3 linked regions of the Drosophila melanogaster genome follow. Changing the gene in region 1 together with any one later gene gives a genetic interaction. Each region holds a gene or a part of one and is shown in the gene's direction. Other genes may lie near its edges.

The links.
Region 2: of klar (region 1) and osk, changing one suppresses a phenotype caused by changing the other (phenotypic suppression), as found in Drosophila melanogaster (one study listed by BioGRID).
Region 3: of klar (region 1) and Lam, changing one enhances a phenotype caused by changing the other (phenotypic enhancement), as found in Drosophila melanogaster (one study listed by BioGRID).

Annotation. Positions count from the first base shown.
Region 1 is NT_037436.4:537,614-542,511, reverse strand, and holds the start of klar (klarsicht), read left to right. Parts: upstream 1-1,897; 5' UTR 1,898-2,613; intron 2,614-4,898. Other genes in the region: Cypl (Cyclophilin-like), read left to right, coding at 1-282; BORCS6 (BLOC-1 related complex subunit 6), read right to left, coding at 450-495, 553-1,027, 1,084-1,471.
Region 2 is NT_033777.3:8,933,435-8,938,914, forward strand, and holds osk (oskar), read left to right. Parts: upstream 1-1,691; 5' UTR 1,692-1,711; coding exon 1,712-2,246; intron 2,247-2,281; exon of another isoform or gene 2,282-2,365; intron 2,366-2,494; coding exon 2,495-2,912; intron 2,913-3,007; coding exon 3,008-3,772; intron 3,773-3,830; coding exon 3,831-3,933; 3' UTR 3,934-4,961; downstream 4,962-5,480. Other genes in the region: ScsbetaA (Succinyl-coenzyme A synthetase beta subunit, ADP-forming), read left to right, coding at 5,386-5,454. UniProt on the Drosophila melanogaster protein: Organizes the germ plasm and directs localization of the posterior determinant nanos. Oskar protein is required to keep nanos (nos) RNA and staufen protein at the posterior pole.
Region 3 is NT_033779.5:5,540,857-5,547,161, forward strand, and holds Lam (lamin), read left to right. Parts: upstream 1-1,623; 5' UTR 1,624-1,804; intron 1,805-1,922; exon of another isoform or gene 1,923-2,468; 5' UTR 2,469-2,475; coding exon 2,476-2,938; intron 2,939-3,181; coding exon 3,182-3,885; intron 3,886-3,950; coding exon 3,951-4,652; 3' UTR 4,653-5,786; downstream 5,787-6,305. Other genes in the region: Hel25E (helicase at 25E), read right to left, coding at 116-234, 297-480, 577-800, 867-1,065. UniProt on the Drosophila melanogaster protein: Lamins are components of the nuclear lamina, a fibrous layer on the nucleoplasmic side of the inner nuclear membrane, which is thought to provide a framework for the nuclear envelope and may also interact with chromatin.

The DNA of each region.
Region 1 (4,898 bases):
GCCTCCATCTACGGATCGGAGTTCGCGGACGAGCTGCACGGCGACTTGAGGCACACGGGCGCGGGCATCCTCTCGATGGCCAACTCTGGACCGGACACCAACGGGTCCCAGTTCTTCATCACGCTGGCGCCCACGCAGTGGCTGGATGGCAAGCACACGATCTTCGGCAGGGTCTACACGGGCATGGAGGTGGTCAAGCGGATCGGCATGGTGGAAACCGACAAGAACGATCGCCCCGTGGATCCCCTAAGGATCATCAAGGCCAAGGTGGAGAAGCTGTGAGCCAAGGAGGTGGATTTTTTGGAGGAACTGCTAGAATAAGTACGATTTAAACAAGCGAAAGGTATCTTTCCATATGGATTTTATAACACTGATTATATGTATTTACGGAATGACTAGAAAGACAAGATCTCTTTGATTGGTTGATCACAGGATAGCGTAGCCCTATTTTACATGGTGCTGTCCAACATGTCCACCAGCCGCTTGATCTGCCTTCTGCGGAAGAGAAAGTCCATTACACTAAAGGGATCTGTCTTGAATTGACCCACTTACATGCGCTGACCCAGCTGCTCTGTGGGTTTCATCGACTTGGTGATTTCCTCCGCCTTGGCCAGCAATTGGTACTGGCACTTGATATTCGCGTCCAAAGTGTCCGTCAGCTTGTTGACCGCGTTGCGATGGACCTCCACGTTGTCGGCCGTTATGGAGGAGATTGAGTGCAGCAGGTTGCCCAGGTTTTCCATCAGATTGTCCACCGAGCTGGCCAAGTACTGAGCCTCCAGTTCGATGTCGCTCAAGACGCTGCCGTCCACTTCGGGAATGTTGCGCGACTGCAGGAACCGCCGCGTGAGCAGACCGTTGCCGGAAGTGGCTCCAATGGGACCCATGGAGCTCAGGGGCGTGGTGTGCTCCGAGGAGTAGGCCGAAGCCGCCACGCGCTCGCGCAACTTGGCCTCTAGATCGTGGGCCACAAAGTGGCGCATCCCGTCGGAGTCACTGGTTTCGCCGTCCAGCTCGTAGGGCACAGCTGAAAGAAGGAAGATGCTTTAGTCAGGAACTATGGGTAGATAACCTAGAACCCACTGCTCTCTGCCTTCAGTCTGTGCCTTTCGATGTCGCCGGAACTGCCCTTAGAGTTGCTATTCGAGTTGCTGTTGTCCTCCTCCTCCAAGGGATCGTCTTCCTCGTCGGGATCCTCGCCCGAATCCAGGTTAAGGTATTTCTCGCCGTTGGGTCTTGTCTTTGTGCTTCCGGGAATCGCAGCATGGCCAGTGGCTGTGGGCGTCAGATCCTGGAGCACGTGCTCTGGCACCGCTCCCGGATACTGAGCCAGGAACGGAATTTCCGTGTAGGAGGAGGCGGGCGTGGCTCCGGATCCAGAACTCCTGGCTGCCCCTTCCGATGGGCCACTCTCCTCGGCCACATAACCGTAACGTGGGCGGATGGGAATGTCCTGGTGGCGGTGCGACATTCTGCACTGCTCTTTTCAATCCAAGGAACTTTAGGCAGACTAAGAAATGTATGTCAATTTTCTGAATGAAAACCAAAACAAAGCATTTACTGGTATATACCAAATGGTTATCGATAACATCTATTTATCGAATGTATTTGCATTAGGCCCTGTTCAGGCTGAGGTCCACCTTACCTATATCGAGCCTTTTTTACGTAGGATTGACCTATGCAACTTGATGTGCGTAAACTATATTTTCCTAACCCTGATGGAAATTTCGGTTTTAGTGAGAAACAGATTTCAGATGTTATTTGGTTGAGTATATGACAGTTCGATAGTATCGCACACTTACTCTTCACGATTTTGCTTTTACCAAGAAATGGTCACACTCCAGCTCGCACTATCGAGTCATCGATAGGACCGATAGGCCAGCCCGTTAAATCGAAGACAGTCGTGTTTATAATTTGCGGCTCCGAGGTGTGCGGCGCGCATTGGGCAGACTGGAGTGAACTAAGTAAATCTGCAGCGTTCTAATTTAATTGCGCGATGAGCGCGTAAAAACACACCTGCGTAGCGCTGCAATAAAACCAATGTAGATTTTTGTTTATATGTTCGCGTTTCCATCGTATTTTTCGAGTCTTATTCGTTTTAATTGTTAGTGCTCGTACGCTAAGTGAATTGCTAGCAACTTGGGGCTAAAAGTGCCAAAAAGAGCCAGAATCGAAAAGAAGCGGCTAAAGAGGAATAAGCGAAAAGGAAGCAACGAAAACGGTGTTTTGCTCTCTTTCTCCTCTCTCATCCTCGCCATGTGTGTGCGTGTGCAAATGTGTGTGTTGGCGTCGCTAAAAAAGTGCATGTGAAGATTAGGAAAATAATAAGGAAGGCAACGAAAAGTAAAATAAAATTTGATGTACAAAATACGCAAATTGGTGACAAACAATGTACAAGTGGCATACATGAAATAAAGTTTTATGCAAAAAAAACAAAATCGACTGCAGTGCGTGCACTTGTGTGTATGTGCCGCTGCATATGTGTATGTGTGCAGTGTGGAAATAAAGCAAGAGAGAAAAAAAAACTGTTTGCAGCCGGGGTACAAATTCCAATTGGAGTCTCAAGGAGCATAAATTCCCATTCGACGCATGCGTGGCTGCTAAAAAAAGCAAGTAAGTTAAATTGTTTGTACTAAAGAATCTTATAAAATGCAACTGAAAATGGATAAAAGTGTAAAAAAAAGGAAAGACTTTTTTGCCTTCTCTGTTTTCTACGGGTACGTACGAATGTGTGTGTGTGTGTGCTCTCTTCTATTTTGTTCTTGACTTCTTGTTCTTTTCTTCTTCTTGGCCAGTTACTCTTATGCTTTGTCTTTCTTCTCAGGCCGTTCTGCTTCTTTCTTTTAACTGCAAATTGTGCAGTCAGCAAGTATGAGAGCGAGAAAGAGACAGCGATCTTTCTTTTTCACCCACCCACTTCTTCCCCTCTTCCTCTAGCGGTTATATTCGCTTTATTGTATTGGTGCTTTTCCTATCTATATCTACCGTTATGTTTCGATTGCGATTTCGTAATAACTGCGATAATATTTGCTCTCTCTCGCTCTTCTTCTCTTTCGGCTTTCCACTCTCTTCCCTTTTAGTTATGTGTGTGTAACTGCACATTTGAATTGTTGTTGTTTTTATTAAAATGCGTGGGTTGATTTTTCAATCAATCAATCAATCGTTTATTTTGGCATCGATAATATGGAAAAGTGGATTGATATGTGGACAAGAAAAGCATGTGATGAATCAGGAGAAAGGAATTACTCGATAATTAGCTTCTAACTTTTATATTCTGTAAAAAAATGTATTTTTAAACGTCTAAATCCAATAGGAAAAACAAGCAAGTTGGTCGAAAATAAAAGAACTCAATTTCTGGATCCTTGTTTTGTTAAGTATTTCCCTATTTCGCACTTTAAATTCCATTCCATTTCTATAAACAAATGTTGTCGCACTCTTACTGTTTATTTACATCGCATCGAAGAAAGATTTTCCATTTTCATGGGCGACACTTGAACGGGGTTTTCTCTGGCCTTTTCCCACAACCATTTCCTCGTCGAGCACTTAAATGAAAATGCTGTTTTTATTTATTGATTTCCATATTGCATTCATCTCGCGTTTTCCCGCTCGCCCACTCGATGACCCGCTGACCCAGCGGGAAATGGAAAATCGTTTACTGCAACATTTTACTGGTGCCCTCTTCCTAGATTTCCCACCCTCCCCTCTCGTGGGTTTCCCCATTTTCCTCGGGGCGGGGTTAAGGCGATGCCTTGGAGCAGATTAAACGCGCGTCCTAATGCGATTTGCATTCGTCTTTCCCCCGCTTTTCCTTCGACTTTCCAGTACATCGTGCCCGGTTTGGGGTCAGCGACTAGGAAATCTAATTGAGGAAATTCCTATTATTTTCCACTCGCGCGCCGCCTGCTCTTTCATTTTCATTTTCCCCAGCTTAACCCCAAAGTGTTTTGGCTTTAACGCTCACGTGCCGAGTCTCTTTGGGCCAAAGACCTGAAGTCCCAATATGTCAAAATCCCATCTCATGTGCGTGGCCAATTTTGGCCAGGTCTGGTCGGTCTTTAAGCCATGTTTCCTTCTCCTCCGAGATAAGCGTGTTAATGGCTCATTAGCAGTGGGTCGGTTTAGGTCACTTTGGAGCCAAATTGCCTAACCGAAGACTCGAAAATAAGCGAAATATCAACGAGTTTTTAGGCCCAAATCTCTCCCACACTCTTAGCGGCTCTCAAATGGCGGGAAAGTAATGAAGAAATAAATACAAATCATCCAGAAGGAAGTTGAAAATTATTGAATTCATAAAGGAAACGAAAAATCAATCCCAAAGAATGATTGTCAATATCTAATCTCCTAATGTTCGAGTTCGATTAACACAATTGTGTATAATTCCACTTTCCTCTAACTGTTTTCTTAAAATTTTTTGTAAGCCAAATTGAGGTCAGGAAAATTCTTTCAACTCTTGTTCTCTAAAAATAAAAAAACTCGGCATACAAACTTTTTGCCTGATCATCTCTACAGTCATTGTCTTCTCAATTTGGAACTAATTTGGGTAGGGAACTTCAAAAGTGCAAATGAATTTATGAACATTTGGGGTTCTTTTCTTCTGAATAGTAAAAAGGTCTTGGAAAGCAGTATTGAACAAATAGTATACTTAATAGTAGGTACGAATTACTCTAAAACCAAAAATTACAATTTTGTAACTGACATTTTATTCACACCCACTTTTAATATAACTTCTGTGGCACGCTTTTGTTATTTATCTTGCATTATTCGCCCTCATTTCTGATGCTTACATTAATGCACACCCTTCTCGGAATTCATCCCCTGCATTTTGAAGGTGTTATATGTTATATACTGACTGTTATACTGGTGTTCGTTCACCCCCTAGACTTTAAATTTCCACCCGA
Region 2 (5,480 bases), on another chromosome or scaffold:
TGCTCCGTCGGCTTCCATAATTTATGCAGAAATGCAGTCGAACCCAATGAAAAGTGTCGTTCACAAATCTAGGCGGTAAATTGCTTTTTGCGATTTCCAATGCACACCCACCACACGCAAATGCAAAAGTTGTCAATCAAAAATGGTCGTCAATCATGGTAGTAGTTGTTAGAAAGGAAGAGAGTAGGAAAATGTCTTTAAAAATATTAAACAAATTTATTTTTCAGTGGTTACTTCCTACAATTACGCTTATAGAAATACAAGGAAGGTTGCCAAATACCATAAATATATGTATAATTCCTTACCTTACAATCGAGTGACCACTGTAATTCTTAGCTGGGAGTAGAGAGAATGAGAGAGGGCCTGGAATGCAAATTACTATTATTACCGGACAATTGCCCTGTGCTGTGCGAGTGCATTCAAAATATTTGAAACACCACCCGAAAAGGGAAAATTGAATGGCAAGAAAAGCCGGCTGATTCATCCCACTCTAAATTATTGGGCTTACACATTCAGCAAATAAAAATGGGAGAAGGGTCGAGATTTATAAATTGGACCACATGTTCTCGCCCAGTTTTTCTACATACATATAGTATTGTATTGCTCGTCACGTCTCTGCAGCATCCTCTGCAATTAAGGCAAGGCTAGGGAAAATATACAGTCCAACATCTATAAGGAAGTACTTCCCTAAATTACAGATAGGTTGTAGTGGCACTAACTATTGCCCATTCTATATATATTACCCTTTGAACCCATCAACACCTTATTGAAAATTATTTTTTTATTATTCTGATCTGCTAGTTAAGTAAAATTTTTACTGATTTAATTTTTGTAATTTCTTGCTGGTACGCATTACTGATGTTTGACTGTATCCAACTTGCTTAAGCTAAGAAGCCATAATCCTCCTTCCGATTGTCTGTGCTTCTTCCGGGGTGCCGGAATCATCACGAGATGTAAGAAAGCCCCTGAGTCATCCATCAATCGCTGGACTAACCCTCAGAGCAAGTGCCTCCATTACCCTTCTCGGAGTTTCAGGTGCACTTGCTGTATGGATGGATAATCATCTCCTGGGGAATTGCTGCCAAGCAGCTCCATTTGCCGATTAGCCGACAGACCACCAGAGCACCACCGCACGTGGTAACGCTCGTCGGCACCATTTGAGTTATTCTGGAATTTATGTATATGCTACTTCGTAATTGCTTATCAAGCAGCTCTGCAGACCCACTGGCGTGCTGTTTTCTAATCTGGACCAAGAGAAAGGCCATTAAAACGAATGTCCAGCTGGAACGGAGTGCAAACTGCTTTGTGTAATGGTCGTCAAATGGCAATGCAGGTGGTAATTTCGTTTAATTGTTTTTACTGGCTACGTAGACTGCTTTGAATGTTAACCTAATGGTGGGCGAATGGGAACAAATTGATAAAAAAATTAAAGAAAATGAATATATATATATATATATAGGTTCTATATTAGGTTCTGAAAACAGTTTTTTATTTTTTCAAAATTTTTTGGTTGTACCACCCTAATGTATTTTCACAAATTCTGTTGATCTGGAAACATTATCTCTGCAAACTGCTCACCGTTACTTCTGTTGCGCCTGCTCTTTCGCCTTCCAGTACGAAAAGCACCGTAAGTCTCCAAAATGCAGATGAATGGAGAAGTGGACCGCGTTGGCGAGGGATCCAAGAATATTGGATCACTTTCCTCCAAGCGATGGCCGCAGTCACAAGTGAATTCCCCAGCAAACCGATCAGTTATACCAGCACCAATACTTCCGCCAAAACCTATTATCTTAAGTCCGTGAAAAAGCGGGTGACCACGTGTTTCCAGCAGTTGCGCGATAAACTCCAGTCATCCGGTTCCTTTCGCAAGAGTTCCTCCAGCTGCCTCAACCAGATCTTCGTAAGGTCCGATTTCTCCGCATGCGGCGAACGCTTTCGGAAGATCTTCAAATCGGCGCGAAAAACCGAATTGCCGGAGTTGTGGAAGGTGCCATTGGTGGCCCATGAACTCACCAGCCGGCAGAGCAGCCAGCAGTTGCAAGTCGTAGCCAGACTCTTCTCGTCCACTCAGATTTCCACCAAGGAAATCACCTACAACAGCAACAGCAACACCAGCGAGAACAACATGACCATCATCGAGAGCAACTATATATCCGTGCGCGAGGAATATCCCGATATAGATAGTGAGGTGCGCGCCATATTGCTGAGCCACGCCCAGAATGGAATCACGATATCGAGCATCAAGAGTGAGTAGCTTTATGTTTGAAAGCTTTCTTCTTTCCAGAAGTTTCGACTTCATCAAACACTTCAGAACTTTCTCTAAGTGGCTATATTTAGTTAGAAATCTAAAATGTATAAATTTTTAGTAGGTTATTAAATTTTATTTGGATTATATAACTTTTATAGTTTAGTATATTTATTTTAATTTATATTTTTTCTATGTTTCTTTTTTGTAAGATTACCCTTAAATAATTCTATAATTGAAATTCGCCAGGTGAATATCGAAAACTGACGGGCAATCCATTTCCACTGCACGACAACGTGACGGATTTCCTGCTGACCATTCCCAATGTGACCGCTGAGTGCAGCGAGTCCGGTAAGCGGATCTTCAACCTGAAAGCGAGCCTGAAGAACGGTCACCTCCTGGATATGGTGCTCAACCAGAAAGAGCGCACCAGCGACTACAGCAGCGGAGCTCCGTCCCTGGAGAACATACCACGAGCACCTCCACGCTACTGGAAGAATCCCTTCAAACGGAGGGCTCTGTCCCAGCTGAACACCAGCCCGAGGACCGTGCCCAAGATAACGGATGAAAAGACCAAGGATATCGCCACCAGGCCGGTTTCGCTGCATCAAATGGCCAATGAGGCAGCGGAGTCGAACTGGTGCTACCAGGATAATTGGAAGCATCTGTGAGTACTGAAAAGGTGTTTTGTAGACAGTGCAACTATAGCAAAAATAAACCTTTACTTAACAAAATGTACTAATCTTTCTACTGAACTCCTAGCAACAATTTCTACCAGCAAGCCAGCGTAAATGCGCCAAAAATGCCAGTACCCATCAACATCTACAGCCCCGATGCCCCAGAGGAACCAATCAATTTGGCTCCACCTGGGCATCAGCCAAGCTGCAGAACCCAAAGCCAGAAAACCGAACCGACTGAAAACCGCCATTTGGGCATCTTTGTGCATCCATTTAACGGCATGAACATAATGAAGAGACGCCACGAAATGACGCCCACGCCAACGATTTTAACCAGTGGAACCTACAACGATTCTCTGCTGACGATTAACTCGGATTACGATGCCTATCTGCTGGACTTTCCGCTTATGGGCGATGATTTTATGCTATATCTCGCCCGAATGGAGCTAAAATGCCGATTTAGGCGTCACGAACGCGTCCTGCAGTCAGGACTTTGTGTATCCGGACTGACGATCAATGGCGCCCGAAATCGTTTAAAAAGAGTCCAATTACCCGAGGGTACTCAGATCATCGTCAATATCGGATCGGTGGACATTATGCGCGGCAAGCCTTTGGTTCAGATCGAGCACGATTTTCGGCTACTGATCAAGGAGATGCACAATATGCGATTGGTGCCGATTCTAACAAATCTTGCACCGCTGGGCAACTATTGTCACGATAAGGTATTATGTGACAAAATCTACCGATTCAACAAGTTTATCCGAAGCGAATGCTGTCACCTAAAGGTCATCGACATACACTCCTGTCTAATCAACGAAAGGGGCGTGGTGCGATTTGATTGCTTTCAGGCGTAAGACTTTATACCATATACCATATCATATGAGTTTACGATTTGTGCCACTTTTCAGCTCACCACGCCAAGTCACCGGTTCCAAGGAACCCTATCTGTTCTGGAACAAAATCGGTCGGCAGCGCGTACTGCAAGTTATTGAAACGAGTCTGGAGTATTAAGTTGGGTTCTTAATCAAGATACATATATGCAAATTTTGACTGGGCTGGCACCGGAACCGACAAAATAAGAACTTTTTGATGATTTTACGATTTACGCTGATGGATCGCTGCTTTTACGGAATTCGCTTAGTTTTAATATGTTTTATATGTAGTATGTTCTCTGTCTTTGTTTATTTATATGTTCGTGCACTTGTCCTAGTCCATTATTGTATATTATTGTGTGTTTTGTGTTCTATGTTAGATTTAAACTTCTCAATTTTTCGCTGTCTGTGATTTGTTTTGCCAATGCCATTGATTTTCTGCACACTTTTTGCTGCTATCCCAAAAGCTGTGTAAAATAATCAAATGCAAAATAAGCGCAAGCAGCTGAAAACTTCTCTTCAAACTTTTCCGCTTTTCCCAAAACCATTTTGCTTTGAAATCTGTTTTTACCAAATCAGATTAAACTGCAAAATGGAACTTAAATGCAAATCATTGCAATGCTTATAAACTGTTTTTTGTTCTATATACTTTTGTGTGGGTCAAAATTCGGCATGCTCCTGTATCACACAACCTGCCACTTGCCCTTAAAAAGAAGGGCGCAGTGGGCGTGGTACGTATACATATGAGCCATGCTGCATTTTGGCCGTAATGAAAATGCACTGCTTTACTTGGAAAATTCGCTTGCACAAAATCAACGCCGCGGCTGATTTATTATTGATGTGCTCAAGCAAATTCAAGTGAAGCATTTGCGCGATTTTCGTCTTTCTGTTTCCGTTTGCAAAAAAGTTTATAAAATGCTTACACTCTGCTGCAGACACGCCAACCGGAAGTGCGCACTAAGCGCTTGTTTGTAGCACAGTGTAGAATTCTGGCGTAATTTACAGCTCTACTTTAAAGTCTTCTAGATAGCTATCTACTATTTATAAACTTATTTATTGTCTTGAATGTATGTTAATTGTATGTATTGATGGTGATCACGTTTTTTTTGTCCTATAACAAGCTGCAATGTAAAATCCAAAAAAAAAATGAAAAAATAAAATAAAAGGGAAATCAATGATTTTGTTTGCTCTAAGCTATGTTCAAAGTAACTGGGAACTAATCGAACTAATTTCGATTTAAAAGTGGTCTAGATTATATTGTGACATTTGTGAATATATTATTATATTTGCGAATTTATTATTATCATAAAAATAACGGTAGTTGAAAAATAATTTAGATGGCATGCAATATTAAAAGTTCCCGCCAAATTGGCTTGAATCTTTGCTAATATATTACAGTTTCCAACCTTGCATTAAGTTCACGATAGTTTTTCGGCATTTTCGATTGTAAAAGCATAAAAAAGTCCCTGCTATCGAAGCTCTACCACCTCCATCAGCAGGCGACGGCAAAAAAATCTTGAAATGTAAGCAGTAACGTCAAAATTCGCTTTCAAATCGTTAAACGTACGTTCTCATTCGATTTCAGAACAAAATGGCTTCATTCTTGGCACGAACTGGCGGCCCCCTGATCGAAACCGTTAGGCCAGCGGCCATAAAAAAGGTGAGTTCGCCAATTAGTAGTCATAT
Region 3 (6,305 bases), on another chromosome or scaffold:
GATCGAATGTTCGATATCGCGTGGCATTAACAAAATAATAACTAATTGTCGTGATAGCGGTGGATGCGAGGTGGAGAAGTACGAGCATTTTGGTTATGAACACGTTGATATTTACATCTTGCATGAACTTTTTGCAAACGGGACGAATGTCCTTGCTCAATGTGGCAGAGAACATCATCACTTGTTTGCCGTGCGGCGTGCTACGGAAAATCTCTTGAACGTCACGACGCATATCTAAAAGAATGGTTTGGTTATTAGTAAAACGTCCGTCATTTGGTGATTATTAGTCAACTTACCCAGCTGCTCCAGCATCTTGTCGCACTCGTCGAGCACAAAGTGCTTCAAAAGCTTCAGATTAAGTTTCTTGTTGCGAATGAGGGCGAGAATTCGGCCAGGGGTGCCCACCACAATATGCGGGGTGCCGCTCTTGAGGGTCTCCTCGTCCTTTTGAATAGCCATTCCGCCAAAGAAGACAGCCACCTAAATAGAAAACATATCGAATTAATATATAGTAACTATATAGTCGAACCAAACTTTTTGTTGAATTATATACAATGGATTAAAACGTAGACTCACCTTGACTGTGGGCATGTACTTGGAGAATCGCTCATACTCCTTGCTGATCTGGAAGGCCAGCTCGCGGGTGTGGCACATGACCAGGACGTGGCAGGTGTTGTTGTCCGACGGCTCCAGCTGCTGCAGCGTGGCCAGAACGAAGACGGCGGTCTTACCCATGCCGGACTTGGCCTGACAGAGGATGTCCATGCCCAGTACGGCCTGCGGAATGCACTCGTGCTGAACTGCAAGCGGAGAGCATCGTTAGTGACTGTACCTTTCGTCACTCCAGGTGGAGTGCAAGTACTCACCCTCCGAGGGATGCTCGAAGCCGCAGTCCACGATGGCGCGCAGGATCTCCGGTTTCAGGAGGAAATCGCGGAAGCCGGAACTGTGAATGGACACATAGGTGCCCTTGACATCCTTCTTGGGGGCCTCCTGGTTTTCGACCGCAGTGGTCTCGGTCTGCTCCTCATCCTCGTAGTCCAAAAGATCGTCATTGTCGGCCATTTCTGCGGCTTTCTTACCTTTAACTAGTTATCGGCTATAAATTCGCAACTAAATGCTGGGAAATAAAATGGGTGCGACTAGATAAGTTACATGTGTTTGTTAAAGAAAATGCCGCTTTTTTTTGCGGAACCGGTGCCGGCGTTCCCTCCGCCATTTTGTTTTTTCACCGCACCGCATTACATGTATTTCGAAATAAAACGAAATACCCATTACAAGCGACGATTTTATTTAGTGCAGTGTGATTTTCAGTGTCAAACTCACCTTTTGTGCACGTTTATCACTTTAAAATACAGCTTTTAAAGTGAAATTAACTATTTTAAAATCTTTAACGTGATGCGGAGGAAAAAACAGCGCAGAGCAGTGTGACCGAAGTACGTTTAAGAACTCATGCGAGCTGAGCCGGGTGATATCGTTAAGTTATCGATAGTTGTGCACAACAAATCCATTTGTAAGCTTCAACTAAAAAGTTTTTATAAAATATATGCCTTCTAACGCTTTAAATTAAAATGGCTTGTTGAGCTTAAATTTAATTTTTTTTTTATCATTTTGGGGTCAAGCGGTTCTTAGTCTTTTATCTAGCGCGGCGTTTGGTCACACCAGGCATGCCGGAAAGTTATCGATTAGTCTCTGAAACCATCGCAACAAATTCGATTACACGTTCCAGCGTCGGCCGCGTTTTCCTGCTGCAAGATACTTCATTTTCAAATTTGTGCATTTTCCGTTCGTTATAAAAAGTCAGGTGAGTTGCGCTGCTATCTACGAGCATTAGGAAAACTTGTAGAAAAAGTTGAAATAACTGATTAAGTGCCGAACAATAGAGGCGGCACTGTTTCACTCAAAATCGAAATAACCCCCCTGCCTGTATTAGTGTAAAGTCGCTGTAAATATTGAATTAAAATCGCCATATTGTGCAATTTTTGGCTCCTTATCAAATCGTTTAAAGTGCGTCGACTGGATTAGCTAAGCGTTGCGATTGATTAAACTAGTATTAGCCGCGCCATTTGCCTCCACGCCCATAAACAAACGCCGACAAACTCACTTCGTTTTCCTCGTCCGCTTTAGTACAGTCGCTTGAGTGGAAAGCGATGTGCGTGTGTGTGAGTGAGACGTAGAGGAGACTGCGAGAGAGAGAGAGAGCGCGTTAGAGAAACTCGTTTAGCTTCTGTTTTTGAGCGTTTTGTGCGTTTCCCCTCTTTCGTGTTCGGTTCTGTTTGGAATTTTATCAGGGCGCAAAAATAACATACCCTACACCGAACGAAAAAGTTCAAATATAAGTATTGCATATAAAACGCGTTTAGAAGGCACGCAATTGTGTTATTCAACTTTTCTTCAAGTGTTGTGTCCTAAAGAGGTCAGTCACAAAAATCTCACGTGTTATTCTGCACATTTCATTTGTCTTGCAGCGTGAACATGTCGAGCAAATCCCGACGTGCTGGCACCGCCACGCCGCAGCCCGGCAACACCTCCACCCCCCGGCCGCCATCGGCGGGTCCGCAGCCGCCGCCGCCGTCCACTCACTCGCAGACGGCCTCCAGCCCCCTCAGCCCCACCCGGCACTCGCGCGTGGCCGAGAAGGTGGAGCTGCAGAACCTGAACGATCGCCTGGCCACCTACATTGACCGGGTGCGCAACCTGGAGACGGAGAACTCCCGCCTCACCATCGAGGTGCAGACCACCAGGGACACGGTCACACGCGAGACCACCAACATCAAGAACATCTTCGAGGCCGAGCTGCTGGAGACGCGCCGTCTGCTCGATGACACAGCTAGGGATCGCGCTCGTGCCGAGATCGATATCAAGCGTCTCTGGGAGGAGAACGAGGAGCTCAAGAACAAGCTGGACAAGAAGACCAAGGAGTGCACCACTGCTGAGGGTAAGTGCGTGGAAACTGAATCGATAAGAAAACCTTATAATTGTAGGGCAAAGAAAGTAGAGTAATGATAAAATTAAAAGTAAGAAGAGACAAAAGGCGTGGTTTCAAGCAAGAACGAAACATTCATTTAGTTGCTGAACTGTATATAATGATTATCCCATGATATTCCTCACTTTCTGTGACAAAATCATCCCTATTCTGGCATTTAACGAACATTAATTGATTGATTATCCCAACCCGCAGGCAATGTCCGCATGTACGAGTCGCGCGCCAACGAGCTGAACAACAAATACAACCAGGCCAACGCCGATCGGAAGAAGCTTAACGAAGACCTGAATGAGGCGCTAAAGGAGCTGGAGAGACTGCGTAAGCAGTTCGAGGAAACGCGGAAGAACCTGGAACAGGAGACACTGTCGCGCGTTGACCTGGAGAACACCATTCAGAGTCTGCGCGAGGAGCTCTCGTTCAAGGATCAGATCCATTCGCAGGAGATCAATGAGTCGCGCCGCATCAAACAGACAGAGTATAGCGAGATCGACGGTCGCCTCAGCTCCGAGTACGATGCCAAGTTGAAGCAGTCGCTGCAGGAGCTGCGCGCCCAGTACGAGGAGCAGATGCAGATTAATCGCGATGAAATCCAGTCCCTCTACGAGGACAAGATCCAACGACTGCAAGAGGCCGCCGCACGCACATCCAATTCCACGCACAAGTCCATCGAGGAGCTGCGCTCCACTCGTGTGCGTATCGATGCGCTCAACGCCAATATCAACGAACTGGAGCAAGCCAATGCCGACCTCAATGCGCGGATCCGTGATCTGGAGCGCCAGCTGGACAACGATCGCGAACGCCACGGTCAAGAGATAGACCTTCTCGAGAAGGAGCTCATTCGGCTGCGCGAAGAGATGACGCAACAGCTCAAGGAGTACCAGGACCTTATGGACATCAAGGTTAGCTTTAATACTTGTCTAAAATCGTGTACGTATTAATACATAAATCTAATTATCCTGCTTAGGTCTCCCTGGATTTGGAAATCGCCGCATACGACAAGCTGCTGGTGGGCGAGGAGGCTCGTTTGAACATCACCCCAGCCACCAACACGGCCACAGTGCAGTCCTTTAGCCAGTCGCTGCGCAACTCCACGCGAGCCACGCCATCGCGTCGCACTCCCTCTGCTGCCGTGAAGCGCAAACGCGCCGTGGTCGACGAGTCGGAGGATCACAGCGTCGCCGATTACTATGTGTCCGCCAGTGCCAAGGGCAACGTGGAGATCAAGGAGATCGATCCCGAGGGCAAGTTCGTAAGGCTGTTCAACAAGGGCAGCGAGGAGGTGGCCATCGGTGGCTGGCAGCTGCAGCGGCTAATCAACGAGAAAGGTCCTTCGACCACTTACAAGTTCCATCGATCGGTGAGGATCGAGCCAAATGGCGTGATCACCGTTTGGTCGGCGGACACCAAGGCCTCGCACGAGCCGCCATCGAGCCTTGTGATGAAGTCACAGAAGTGGGTCTCCGCCGACAACACTAGGACGATTTTGCTGAACTCCGAGGGCGAGGCCGTGGCCAATCTGGATCGCATCAAGCGCATTGTGTCCCAACACACATCCTCCTCCCGGCTGAGTCGTCGTCGCAGCGTGACCGCCGTGGACGGCAATGAGCAGCTCTACCACCAGCAGGGCGATCCTCAGCAGTCAAACGAGAAGTGCGCCATTATGTAAAATCAAACGCAGCACAACACAACTCTTTCCTCTTTGCTGAACAAGACAAACAAAATAAGCACACACGAAGATCATAATTTAGAACCCAAAAACACACACACCGAGGTACAGAGATTTATTATTCAGCTAAGTTATTTTTTGTGGCCGCAGCGCCAATTATTTAATCAAAAACATTTGTGTAGAAGACATCCTGAATCTTCGTTTCGTTTGTACACTTTCGTTTTCCCTTTCTTAACAAATTCTATAGTTTATTGTTTCGATGTTTTTGTATTTCCGCGTTAACTAATCTATTGTAAACTTTATTTGGTATAAACTGGAGAGGCATGTTGCCTCTTTTTTATGCCACATAGAATTTACGTAAGACGTTCACTTCTTGTATTCGCGGCGGCAAGAACTTTGAAAATATTGCAAGAAAAACAATATTTTCGATGTACTTACGCTCCACCTACATATTTAGTAAATTAGTTTTTAAGCTATATCCCAGATAAACCAGTCGACGTCAGCAAACAACAACAAAAAAAAAACAACGAGCACGTAGTGAGTGATTTATAAGATACAGGTCAAGAGGATTAACTAAAGAAAACAAACGCTCCTGACAACAGACATATTTATTTAAGTATTTTTTGTACAATCAACATAAAATACATTATACATTATACATACATATACATACATACATTATATATATAGACTCATGCCTACGGAAGTGACAACCAGCCAGCAATATATATTTTTAGCCATGGCCATAGGGTTTACGATCCACCAAAACGGCTTTCTCCCGGTTTAGACCGGTTCTTGAGCTTCCTGCAGACATTTTACCGGACGAGCAACAATAAGAACAGCAACAACAACAACAGCATTAACAGCAACAACACAAATGTACAACAATTACAAAAGCAACAAAGAAGAAAAACGAAAGAAAATGGAAGTACACGTAGCGGCTCAGCGATCCGTCGCATTTTTTATGGGTGGGCGTGGTCGCGTTTTACGCCGGCCAAACAAATGCAACGCCCACACAGACTATTATACAAAAACTGATGAATACAACTAAATTTTAAGTACATCTACGTTTATGTATGTAATTGCTAATAATTTGATAATTAAAAAATAAAGAAACCATGTTTAATAAAAATTAAAAACAAACTTTGATTTAGCAATAGAGAGAAAGACATAAAAAAGTATTAAATAGTTTTAAAGCGTATACTGAAACCAATAAGCTCCTACGAATTTCGTAATAGTAGGGTACGCATTTCACTTTCGACGCCTGGTGGCCCTTTTTTCGTCACTCGCTTTGCGTTTCTATTCGTCGCCATGAGTTATTTTTGGAATTTTAATTTTTCTGCGTCTGTATTAGTTGCCTACATGCTTTTTCAATGCGTGTGTTCGCTCATAAACTTTATTTTTGAGTGACTTATCGATTATTTTTGAGTGCAGGACGTTTCAAAACCAACGTGCTTTCGCATTTATAAATATAATTTCTCTTCTTCTTCCGACCATGATTGTTTCTTTTAAAAATGTTAGGTGTCAACCCTGTCGATAGAGAAGAGAGCAAAATCCACTCAAACGAAACGCACTCAACGCGAGAGATGCGGTTAAAGTTCGTTCAACTGGCAAATGCAGTGACCGTTTAACCCGCGATAACGATAACAAAAG